Linked DNA regions of Drosophila melanogaster. The protein of the gene in region 2 interacts with the protein of the main gene of each other region in a pairwise test. Each region holds a gene or a part of one and is shown on either strand. Other genes may lie near its edges.

Region 1 (3,005 bases), about 12 Mb from region 2:
CCGAAAACCCGATTGCCACCACTAGAAGTGAAAAGAAATCGCCCATAAAAAATCGCCATGTGCACGCATATATACAATATGTGTGTATGCTTGCATAAAAAATACAAGTTTCAGCCACCTGAAATAGCCAGCGAATAGATAGATATGCGGGCTAATTTATGGATAAACTGTACAAATATGATTTATAATAATCGAATTTGTGATATATCTCGCCTGTCGTGTCGCACATTACTGATTCTGACCCAAATTACGGTCTATGCGATTCTCGTCTTGGTGTTGAGTCGCGAATGCCTGCCTATTCAATTCATAAATCACCATATGCTAAATATGCTAAAATTTCACTAATAATTTGAAATGTTTAAATATTCCAAATGTATCGAAAAGAGCTATCTACTGTGATTTGTTTCTTTTTTAAGTTAATAGTTCGTTGGTAAGTATAGAAACTTTATAATTCGATTTTAATAGGTTTTAGGGAAACTTTAGTTACACTTCTTGTCCATTTCAAATCAAATAATTATTTCAATTTTGAAAATATTTGCCTGATTTATTTTGGTATAACAACAATAGGTATTTGGTAAGAGTTCAATAAACGATTGATAAACAATTGTATAGCTTAGGGGTCAACTCAATGGTAACCGTGTCCGTGCTCGAAACCATGATCCTGACCGTGGCTGTGGCCGTGCCCATGTCCGTGTTCCTGTTTCAGCGAATAGCTGTGGGAGCTGCTTCCGTGACCATGTCCATGACCATGACCGTGACCGTGCTCCTCGTGTCCGTGGCCATAGTCGTGTCCGGATTGCGAGGAGTGCTCCTCGAACTCAACGTGTCCGCCCTCGTAGCCGCTGTGTCCATGGCCATGGTGCTCCGCCTGGTGGTGATCGTGGAGCTTCTCGCGATGGACATGAGCCTCGAATCCCTTGTGCTTGTCCGCCGTGTAGTGGACAGTTCGCTTGTGGCCATCGGCATCGATCAACTCATAGTGTCCGGTAACCGTGTGGCCATGTCGTGACTCACTCTGTGACTTCACATCCCCAGTCTTTTGATCCTTGACGCCGTACTGGAAGTCATACTCAGCATGGGAGTCATGGTGATCATCATGCCCGTGATGGTCGTGATGATGACCGTGATGTTCCTCGTGATGATCGTCGTGCGATGTTAGATGCACGGAGGCATGACTGGTGGCTCCACCGTGATGACCGTGGTGTTCGTGGCCATGGAAAGGAGCTGCCCGAATAGCCGCAATGGCCAAGAGGGCAAAGGCGATGAAAAACTAAGGAAAATCGAGGTGAATAATAATTTGCTTTAGTTGTTATCCTTTTTTGCTGAACTCACCTTTTGAGCCATGGTACCGCAGCTAGTTTATGAGTTAATCTTAGCTAGACTACTGTTGTCTGATCTCCAGACCAAAGTGAACTGTACCTAAAACACCTTTAACCCGGCCTTTTTATAGTTGGAATAAATCGAACCCATAGGTTAAACTTTCAAAAAAGAATTGGTAAATCGGTCTTTAGTTACGCCCCAATTTGCAGTTCAAGATCAGGTCGTACTTTCGCCCCAGAGACGTGCAATTATATTCGACTGCCAGTTCGACCCTTTTATTTAGCTGTTGTTTCGAAAATCCGTAAAAAAAAAAAATAAATAAACATAAAAATGAGGAAAGAAAAGAATGGCAGTGTAGTAATTCATTGTAAAATTTACTGTCGCAACAATTGCCAATTTAAAGTGGCATTGTTTATGCATCGCATCGCTGTCGTTGTCGGCCATTATAATCCCCCGGCTTGGAGTCGGATTTGGATTGGGATTGGTATATGTGGGCATAGCCAAGAAACAAACGAGCCAAAAGATTTATATGCCTGACAAACGTCTTCGAGTCGTTGACGTCAATCAGGCCTGACAAAAAGTCATCAGAATTGCAGTTTGCAGTTCTCCCTCGGCAGCGGCTTCTTCATTTTGGCCAGATCGGAAAGGCTTGTCTGCTCTCCTCAATCCCAATTCCAATCCCATCCCATCCCAATCCCAGTCCCGTTTCCCGATCCCGATCGGGATCCCAACTTTCGGTGGACTGTTGTCCCGCCAGTCCGCCTGTCAGCAGTCAATCGGCTACCGTCTGTCAATGTCGTGTCGCCTTCATCAAAGGCCACATTCGAGTTGACAATGGGGATATTGGTTCTGTTTTGTAATCCGCAAAGGATACGGATTTTTGAAAGTGCTCAAGTCTGGCAAGAAGAGCTACGTGGCTGGATGGAACATACTTGAATGCAATTTGCATTTGATGCGTGAATTAGCTGGGAATGTAATAATTGGATGAGAATGTTCAGAAAGAAGGGATAGAAGAACATGGCTAACAGATTCAAGGACCATCAGTTATATGATGCTAAGTATTTATTAGTATTTATTACTATTTTTACTTTTGGTACCCTCTATGTACCCTCAATGCCTTAAATTATGCTCCTTCTGCTGTGTTTAGATAACTTTATGCAACAGTTGTGGTTTAATTGATACTGATTATGGTAACTGGGCTTATGCATCCAAAAGTCGAGATCTGGGAGCAGTGAAAGCCCCCTTCTTTCATCATCGAAATTGCCCTTATGGCAGTGGTCTGAACGTGGCACAGAGCCGCAATGTTGCTGCCGCAAGTTGAGAGTCGCAAGTTGCAAGTTGCCAGTTGCCGTCGCTGTCGACTCATCGTTGTCAGTCAAAGGGGCAAACGAAAGGCTGCGTGGTTTGGTTGGCTGGTTTCGTTGTCAGTGTCATTGCTGGCTGCGTTTTGTGGGCACATTTCGGCTGCTTGATTACTCATGTCAATCAGGCTTCCAAACAGCGACGACATGCTGTCAATCTTTGTGTCATGGCCGCTAAAGTTGTTGGTCGGTTGGTCGGTCGTTTTGGCCGGTTGGCCAGTTGCTGGAGTCGTACAACAAGTACGCTTGATTGCCGGGCCCAAAAGGCTGGGTAAAAGGGTAAATACAGGACAGCAACAACAAAAAAAAATAGGAGGCGATGGG
Region 2 (3,398 bases):
TCTGTCCTGGATTCCTTTCGATTTGCTCAACACTTTTTTTGGCTTCGCATTGATTGCTCCACAATTGCGCAATTTCGCTCACTAAAAGCATTTCAAAGGACCTGTGGAATGGGGCTTCCTCTGCCTGCTGCCATGACGCATAAGCTCCGATAAAAACTGTTGTTCGATAAGCATTTTGTTTGCCATGTGCCTGAAGTTGTTAGGGCGTCTGTGCCCCAGCCCAAGTCACGAACTTCTGTGGTAACGCAGTGGGCTGCTGTGAAGGATTGAAGGCGGAGAAACGCTCGAGGAAGCCATAACGAATCAGTTTTTGATGTGGAACTTTGAAAAGTTCTATGGAAATTGTAAGAAAATTCAGAATGCATGGAAGGAGGCGATTCAATCGCAAGCAACTATATATTGCTTAATGCTAGGGAAACTGAATTAAAACTGAATTTAAGTCCTTTAAACAGAACCATGTAGGTGTCCTGCCACAGAGGAGCTATAGTTCAGACATATATTGCACATTCTCCGCACATTTGCCGCTTGGCAAAAGGTCCTGCAGCTTAGTCACCACACTGCCACACACATGGACACACACACCCACATGTACACATGATATTCATTATGAACGGCTTAAGCGATTTCCCCAGGGCCCAGGAGCTTAGTCCTTCACGCAGCAGACACACTCATGCATATGCACAGATATATTTGGGTTTTTATTTATTTCTTTTTATGAAAGCCCCGCTGAATGGAATCCGATTTGACGAGCAGTCGAAAAAAGGAACTCGTCAGCAAATTGGCAGCTCGAAAAAAGATGCGGTAAGCAGAAAAACCAATTCTCTACCTGATTGTTGGCCACATCAATCAGGATGTCATGTTCTACATGCTGGGGAAAAACATGAACATAATAATTAACGCTCATAATTCGACTCTCCCCAAAAGTGGACAACAATTCGCTTCTTTTGCTAATGAAAATAATCTGTCATCAAAGCCAAAAAGCCACCCCCTATGGTAACAGGTGCTCGTGCTTCCCGCTCTCCTGTTTTGCCTCATCCTGTTGCTTTTTCCAGGACACGCCTCCTGGTACACTATATGATTATATTTGGTTCCCAGCTATTAACTCTGCATAGCTTGTGGGCAGGAAGGGTTGAAAGGTTGGCGGACGGAAATTGCATTTGTGCTGGCCCAAATCAGATAAGATTCACCGGCGACGCCCTCGTCCTTGGCCAGGATATGACATTAAAAGCGCATCAAAGTCGAATGGCGAGCAGAGGCTACGCATCAGCAGCGGAAACTGTTGCCGTAATTACATTCGAGTCGGATAGAAAAAATTCCAAAGACGTATGTTCGGCAATGCGAACGCCTGATACCCTTTTCAGTGAGGAATTTTTGAGGAATCTTATCATTAGTAATCTTGATCTTAATTAATCTTCATCAAGGTATCTAAGTCACGAAATGAAAATGTTAACTTAAAACTCTAAGGTTTGTAGATAGGTTTTCGTATAGTTAAACCTCCTTTCGATGTCCTTTCCTTTGACAATAAGAAGCACATTGCTGGTCATTTGCGCGGTCCTTTAACCCTGGTCGCTTGTGAGCTTAGCTTCCCCCGGAGGCTGAACTTTGATTTGGTCTTTGTTTGCGCCGTTAAATTAAATGTCCTTGCCCAGCCGTTCGGGATCTGTGCTCATCCTGGATGCCCAGGGACAATGCAAGCAATTCCAGTCATTTCCTTAATAGAAATCTTATCTTTTGTGACGCCTTCGCCGTGTGCCTAAGCCGGATATCGCACCTTTGACATCTGCCCATGGCTCCTGACAAAGCAGGTCCATGCTAAGCACTCAAATATCTCTTACTTCCGGTCCGGCTTTTTGGGAGAATATCATTTGGAAAAATTGGGTGTTTATTTATACCAACACTAGCAGACGAAACCATGAAATCCTGTTGTGCCACTCAGACGACGCGTTGTGAGTGTCCAACGGGTCTCAGATTGGGGAAGAAGCCGCAGGCTCCACTCTTCGACATGCTGGGCCCGCATCCAGATGAGGTCATCATGACGATCCTGGACCGCATCCTCTATCTTTCGGGCGCCACGAAAATAATTCCATTGCTGGAGTTGTCGAATGAAGGTCAGTAATCGAAGGAAGTAATATAAATGCGTCCATAGATAAAATATACCCGTAGGATCAGCTTTTAAGAAGGAATCCTGCCCACCACCAGCACCCTGTGCACCAAGCCCTTGCAGTTCCGGAAGCAGCTCGGCTTATCCATCTTCATCGGCCTGGAGTACATGCTGCTCCAAGCCGTCGACTATCTGTTGTTATCCCAAGCCAACGAGATGCTGCGCCAGTCCAAAAGCTCCACTAGTGCCCTGCAGTCCAATGGATACTCCGAAATCTTCCTGCTTCAAGACCGCGAGTCGGCTTAGTTCCGCTGCCTGTTGTCCCCGCCAGCGTACTCCCAGGGTGGACTTCGATCACCCGGCGGAGGATATTCCGTTGAGAAATAAGGCGGGCAGCGCCACGATAAGGGAACAGATAAGCCGATCAATTTCCACCTGCTCGGTGGCCTGTCAACAGCTGAAAGACAAGCTTACATCCCAGATTGCCCAAGGACACAAGGACCAAAAGTGGTTGTGGACCCGTTTGATTCGTGGCAACGATGGGTGCATGGTGTACGAGGTGTACAAGGATTCCGATGTAGACAACTCTCCCTCTAAGATCGGGTCGGAGGCACCCATCATCCTTTTTCTAGTCATGCCGAATGGTTGCATCATGCCCTTTGAGTCTATTTGTGGTCCTTAGGAAGATGGTACTCGTTTTGTATACTTTTTAGCCTGTGGTCAGTTAAAAATAAACTTTCACCCGTACTTTGTATTTTGCTATTTAATTTATACAACAAATACTAAGCTACACGTATGCCTTTTTTTAGCATAAGGAAGACCACTCCAGCACAAACAAACATATAGATGGACAGTATAACAACAGACTCCAGATCACTTCGATGACCCGGGTTCAGGGACATGTTGACCATTCCCGTAAGGAAATTGGAGATCATGAAGTGAGTCAGACCGTTCATGTTCAGACTTTCAACAAAGGTGGGCAAGGATATGTTCTTTTGCCCGTCATCTCTAATTGACTTTTTAGAACAAATATCTGGCCGTACGAGTTTCAGCTCAAAGAAGAACGCGTAGATCACAATTAGGCTTAGGGAGACAGCGAAAATCCAGATTACATAGCCAAAACTAAAAGTTACACGTGCTATGCCCGTTAGAAAAGAACTTATAAAAACCAATTTCCAACAGAGAATGGCCACGAAAAGAATACTCTTTAACTTTCTTATTAGTCCTTGATAAGTCAGGCTATCACGGGAAGTATACCACTTGGCAAAGTAAATGCTGAGCAAATAGAGAGCCACAC
Region 3 (3,035 bases), on a different chromosome or scaffold from region 2:
GATTTGGATGTGGATGTGTTTTCTGCTGCTCTTTTTGGAAATGTTACTCTAGGACTAGGGTTTGGATTAAAATCCAAAGGCGAACAGCAAATGAAAATACCATTTCTTGCACTTTATTTATGTAAAGCAACTAGGGCGTCATGCTGATTTGAAGGCAACATATAGATTGCACATTTATTGTATGCAAATGCAAGCTAAAAGCTTATAGGAAATTGATTTGCTCGTATAGTTTTCACTTTATAGTTTTAAGAGCATTTAAAAGCCGGCTAGCATGTGAGTGCCCTTTGTCTATTGTTTCAAATTCAGCTTTCAATTTAAATTGTTTGGATTACTCGTCCTCTATTGTGTACATTGAAAATGTATTTCGGGGTATTTGTTGTGTCAACACCAAGTGAACGAGATAGTAGCACCCACTACCAACTACACACCACATGTCCCGATTTAGTTGCCCTGATTTCTCAGCCAGACAATAGGACGCGTCGCTAATGTCCCCGTGCAGTAATAATAATATATATATACACATATATATCGTGTGGCTGCTAATGTGGCAGCATTGTATTGGGTTAATTATTCTGGTCGATTTAAGCATTTAACTTTTGAAAGGAGCTGTCAAAGTGTGATGTCAGTACGTCAGTCAACAATACCAGCAATATTACACACACAAAAGCCAAAGAAGAATCGCACTAATCGCCGAGCATTTTGTCCGCGTGGGTGGATGACGTCTTAAAGTTGCTCCAACAGGTCTCTGGCTGATTGTTTACTTTTCACGCCATGTATTAGCCATTGTTATGGTAAAGACTTTATAATAATTCAGACAACAAAGTGCGGCAAATGTTTACATGTCCTCTTTCTCCTCATCCCCGTCGTCAGCGTCCACGCCCACCGCCTTGTCGGGATAGAATTTCTTGAGTATCCTGTTCACATCGGGCACCAGTGCCTCGTAGTCCAGTGGGAACTTATCCCGACGCGGCGGTCCCTTCTCCAAGCCGGACCACAGCAGATGCTCCGAGGTGCGTGCATTTTGCGAGAACCCTATCTCGAAGGCTCCTTCCCGCGGAACCTGGCGTCCGTTTCGATTCTTCACCAGCTGGAACTTGCGCTCCGGTATCCGTTGCGTGAAGAATGTTCCGCACTCGTCGGCCTTGGTCTGGAAAATGGGACACTCGTACGTGTGCTCGATGTAGATCATGGAACGATCCTTGGAGAAATGCTCATCGGAGGACCAGTCCACGTCCTTTTTCTTTTTTGCCGGCTTCTTTGGTGGCATTGTGGTTTTTTTTTTAGATTACTTTCACAATTTCGAAGTGATTTTGTTAATAACCAAAACCCATTTTTATTTCGAATGTTGACAATCCTAGAATTCATAATTGCTTTGATTGATTGCTTTTTGGTTCACTTATGATTCTCTGGTACAAAAGTACTGTGAACCATAAATCTTCTTTCGTACATTTCAAAGTGCGCAACGATGTCCAGAATATTTTTGCTGCGCCTATTTTTAAAATGCATGACAATCCGAAAGAGTCAACAACTTTTGGTGGCACGCATACGAAAAGAATCGCTGTTCGTTTGTTAATTTGGCTACATTGACTGACAACGCAGCCGCCTTTGAAAAAATTACAAAAAACGATATTGTATAGATGCAGGGGAAAATGCTTCCATTGGCTGGGTAGCCACAATTTTGTTCATTATATATAGATTTTTGTTTTGTATATATGCAAAGCTCCAATATAGACGTCAATTTATGGCACTGTCTATATTCATGCAGAAAAGCTACTCAACAAATTCTATGCATAACAATAATATATTGTTGGACACAAAAACATGCATAAACAATGGGAGAAAACATAAAAATCGAGTATTTAAAGCAAGTAAATTATACGATGAGAGCATTTCGACGACTATCAGATATTCTTTACGGATTCCATTGAATGTAGGTTTATCACAAAATACGCTGATATTTATCATAAGCTGGAAGAAGATACCAATACCAAATCAATGGATTGTTTTCATAAAAAAATGAAGAATGAAATCGCAAACCCTATTATTTTCAAGTCTCTTAATAGTGTTTGAAGGACATCTAATTGAACTGATTTTAAGAGCAAACATAGTCTTCTTATATAATTTGTGCATTTTTAATTGGAATCATTTAAATTCTTATTTTGGAGCGTAAACATGATTGCAACACTCTTTTATTTGCTTGATTTTATTGGTTGCGGGATTGCGAGATTGCAAATGGTCATTTATTGCATTTTATTTCTCCATTTCTCGTGGCTGAAGCTGAATGATTTTTTACCTTCAGCTGCCCACACGTGGCCCGCATTTTCCTGATCCCCCCCAACCCCCTCTGACCCAGAGGGTCATGGTTTATTTATGCAATTTTCCAATTTTCCCAACATCGGCCCACAAATAAAACCGAAATGAAAGCATACAAAATGCAGCAAAGAGCTGGGAATTTAAAAAAATAAAAAACCAAAAATGTATATGAAAATGCAATTTGCAAATTAACAACAACGCAATTGTAAACAACAGTGACAATGACGTCACAGTGAAACATACAACAGAAATCTATTCGTTGTGGGGTTAAGAATGCAACTTTTGGCGTTTGCACACATACTAATTATGCGCATAAACTGTGTATTCAAAACTAGGGTCATTTTGAAGCAATATTCAAATGAGCCAAAAAGAATATTTCAACAAATGTATCTGCACACTCGGAGTTTTTTTTCTGCTGTTTTTCCGCTGTGGAAAAATAATCATCGATGCTGCGGCTTCAGTGGGGCAGCGCCAAGAGCAACAAATATTTAAATATATTTATTATTCTGAATAGGCGTGCCAGCGTGTGTATATGTATCCCACATACGCATGTCTGCACATACTTCAGATATATTTTTAAAAAATCAAAACGACAATTTGCTGCTTGCATCATTTTGAAATACAACAGAACTTGAACGTCGACGTCGACGTCGCCAGCGGCAGCGGCAGAGATCGTCGATCGGCGAGCGAAAATTTTCGGCAGCTGCAGGCAGCGCCACTCG

What was found. The genes of interacting proteins can lie anywhere in the genome.
Region 1: the proteins of CG3557 (region 2) and Cpr35B interact in a two-hybrid assay, tested with the Drosophila melanogaster proteins (one large-scale study listed by BioGRID).
Region 3: the proteins of CG3557 (region 2) and CG13186 interact in a two-hybrid assay, tested with the Drosophila melanogaster proteins (one large-scale study listed by BioGRID).

The regions. Positions count from the first base shown.
Region 1 is NT_033779.5:14,423,788-14,426,792, forward strand, and holds Cpr35B (cuticular protein 35B), read right to left. Parts: upstream 1,403-3,005; 5' UTR 1,345-1,402; coding exon 1,333-1,344; intron 1,271-1,332; coding exon 626-1,270; 3' UTR 528-625; downstream 1-527.
Region 2 is NT_033779.5:2,384,217-2,387,614, reverse strand, and holds CG3557 (uncharacterized protein), read left to right. Parts: upstream 1-1,822; 5' UTR 1,823-1,912; coding exon 1,913-2,108; intron 2,109-2,163; coding exon 2,164-2,783; 3' UTR 2,784-2,854; downstream 2,855-3,398. Other genes in the region: PIG-Wa (phosphatidylinositol glycan anchor biosynthesis class W a), read right to left, coding at 2,884-3,398.
Region 3 is NT_033778.4:12,079,550-12,082,584, reverse strand, and holds CG13186 (uncharacterized protein), read right to left. Parts: upstream 1,310-3,035; 5' UTR 1,268-1,309; coding exon 836-1,267; 3' UTR 528-835; downstream 1-527.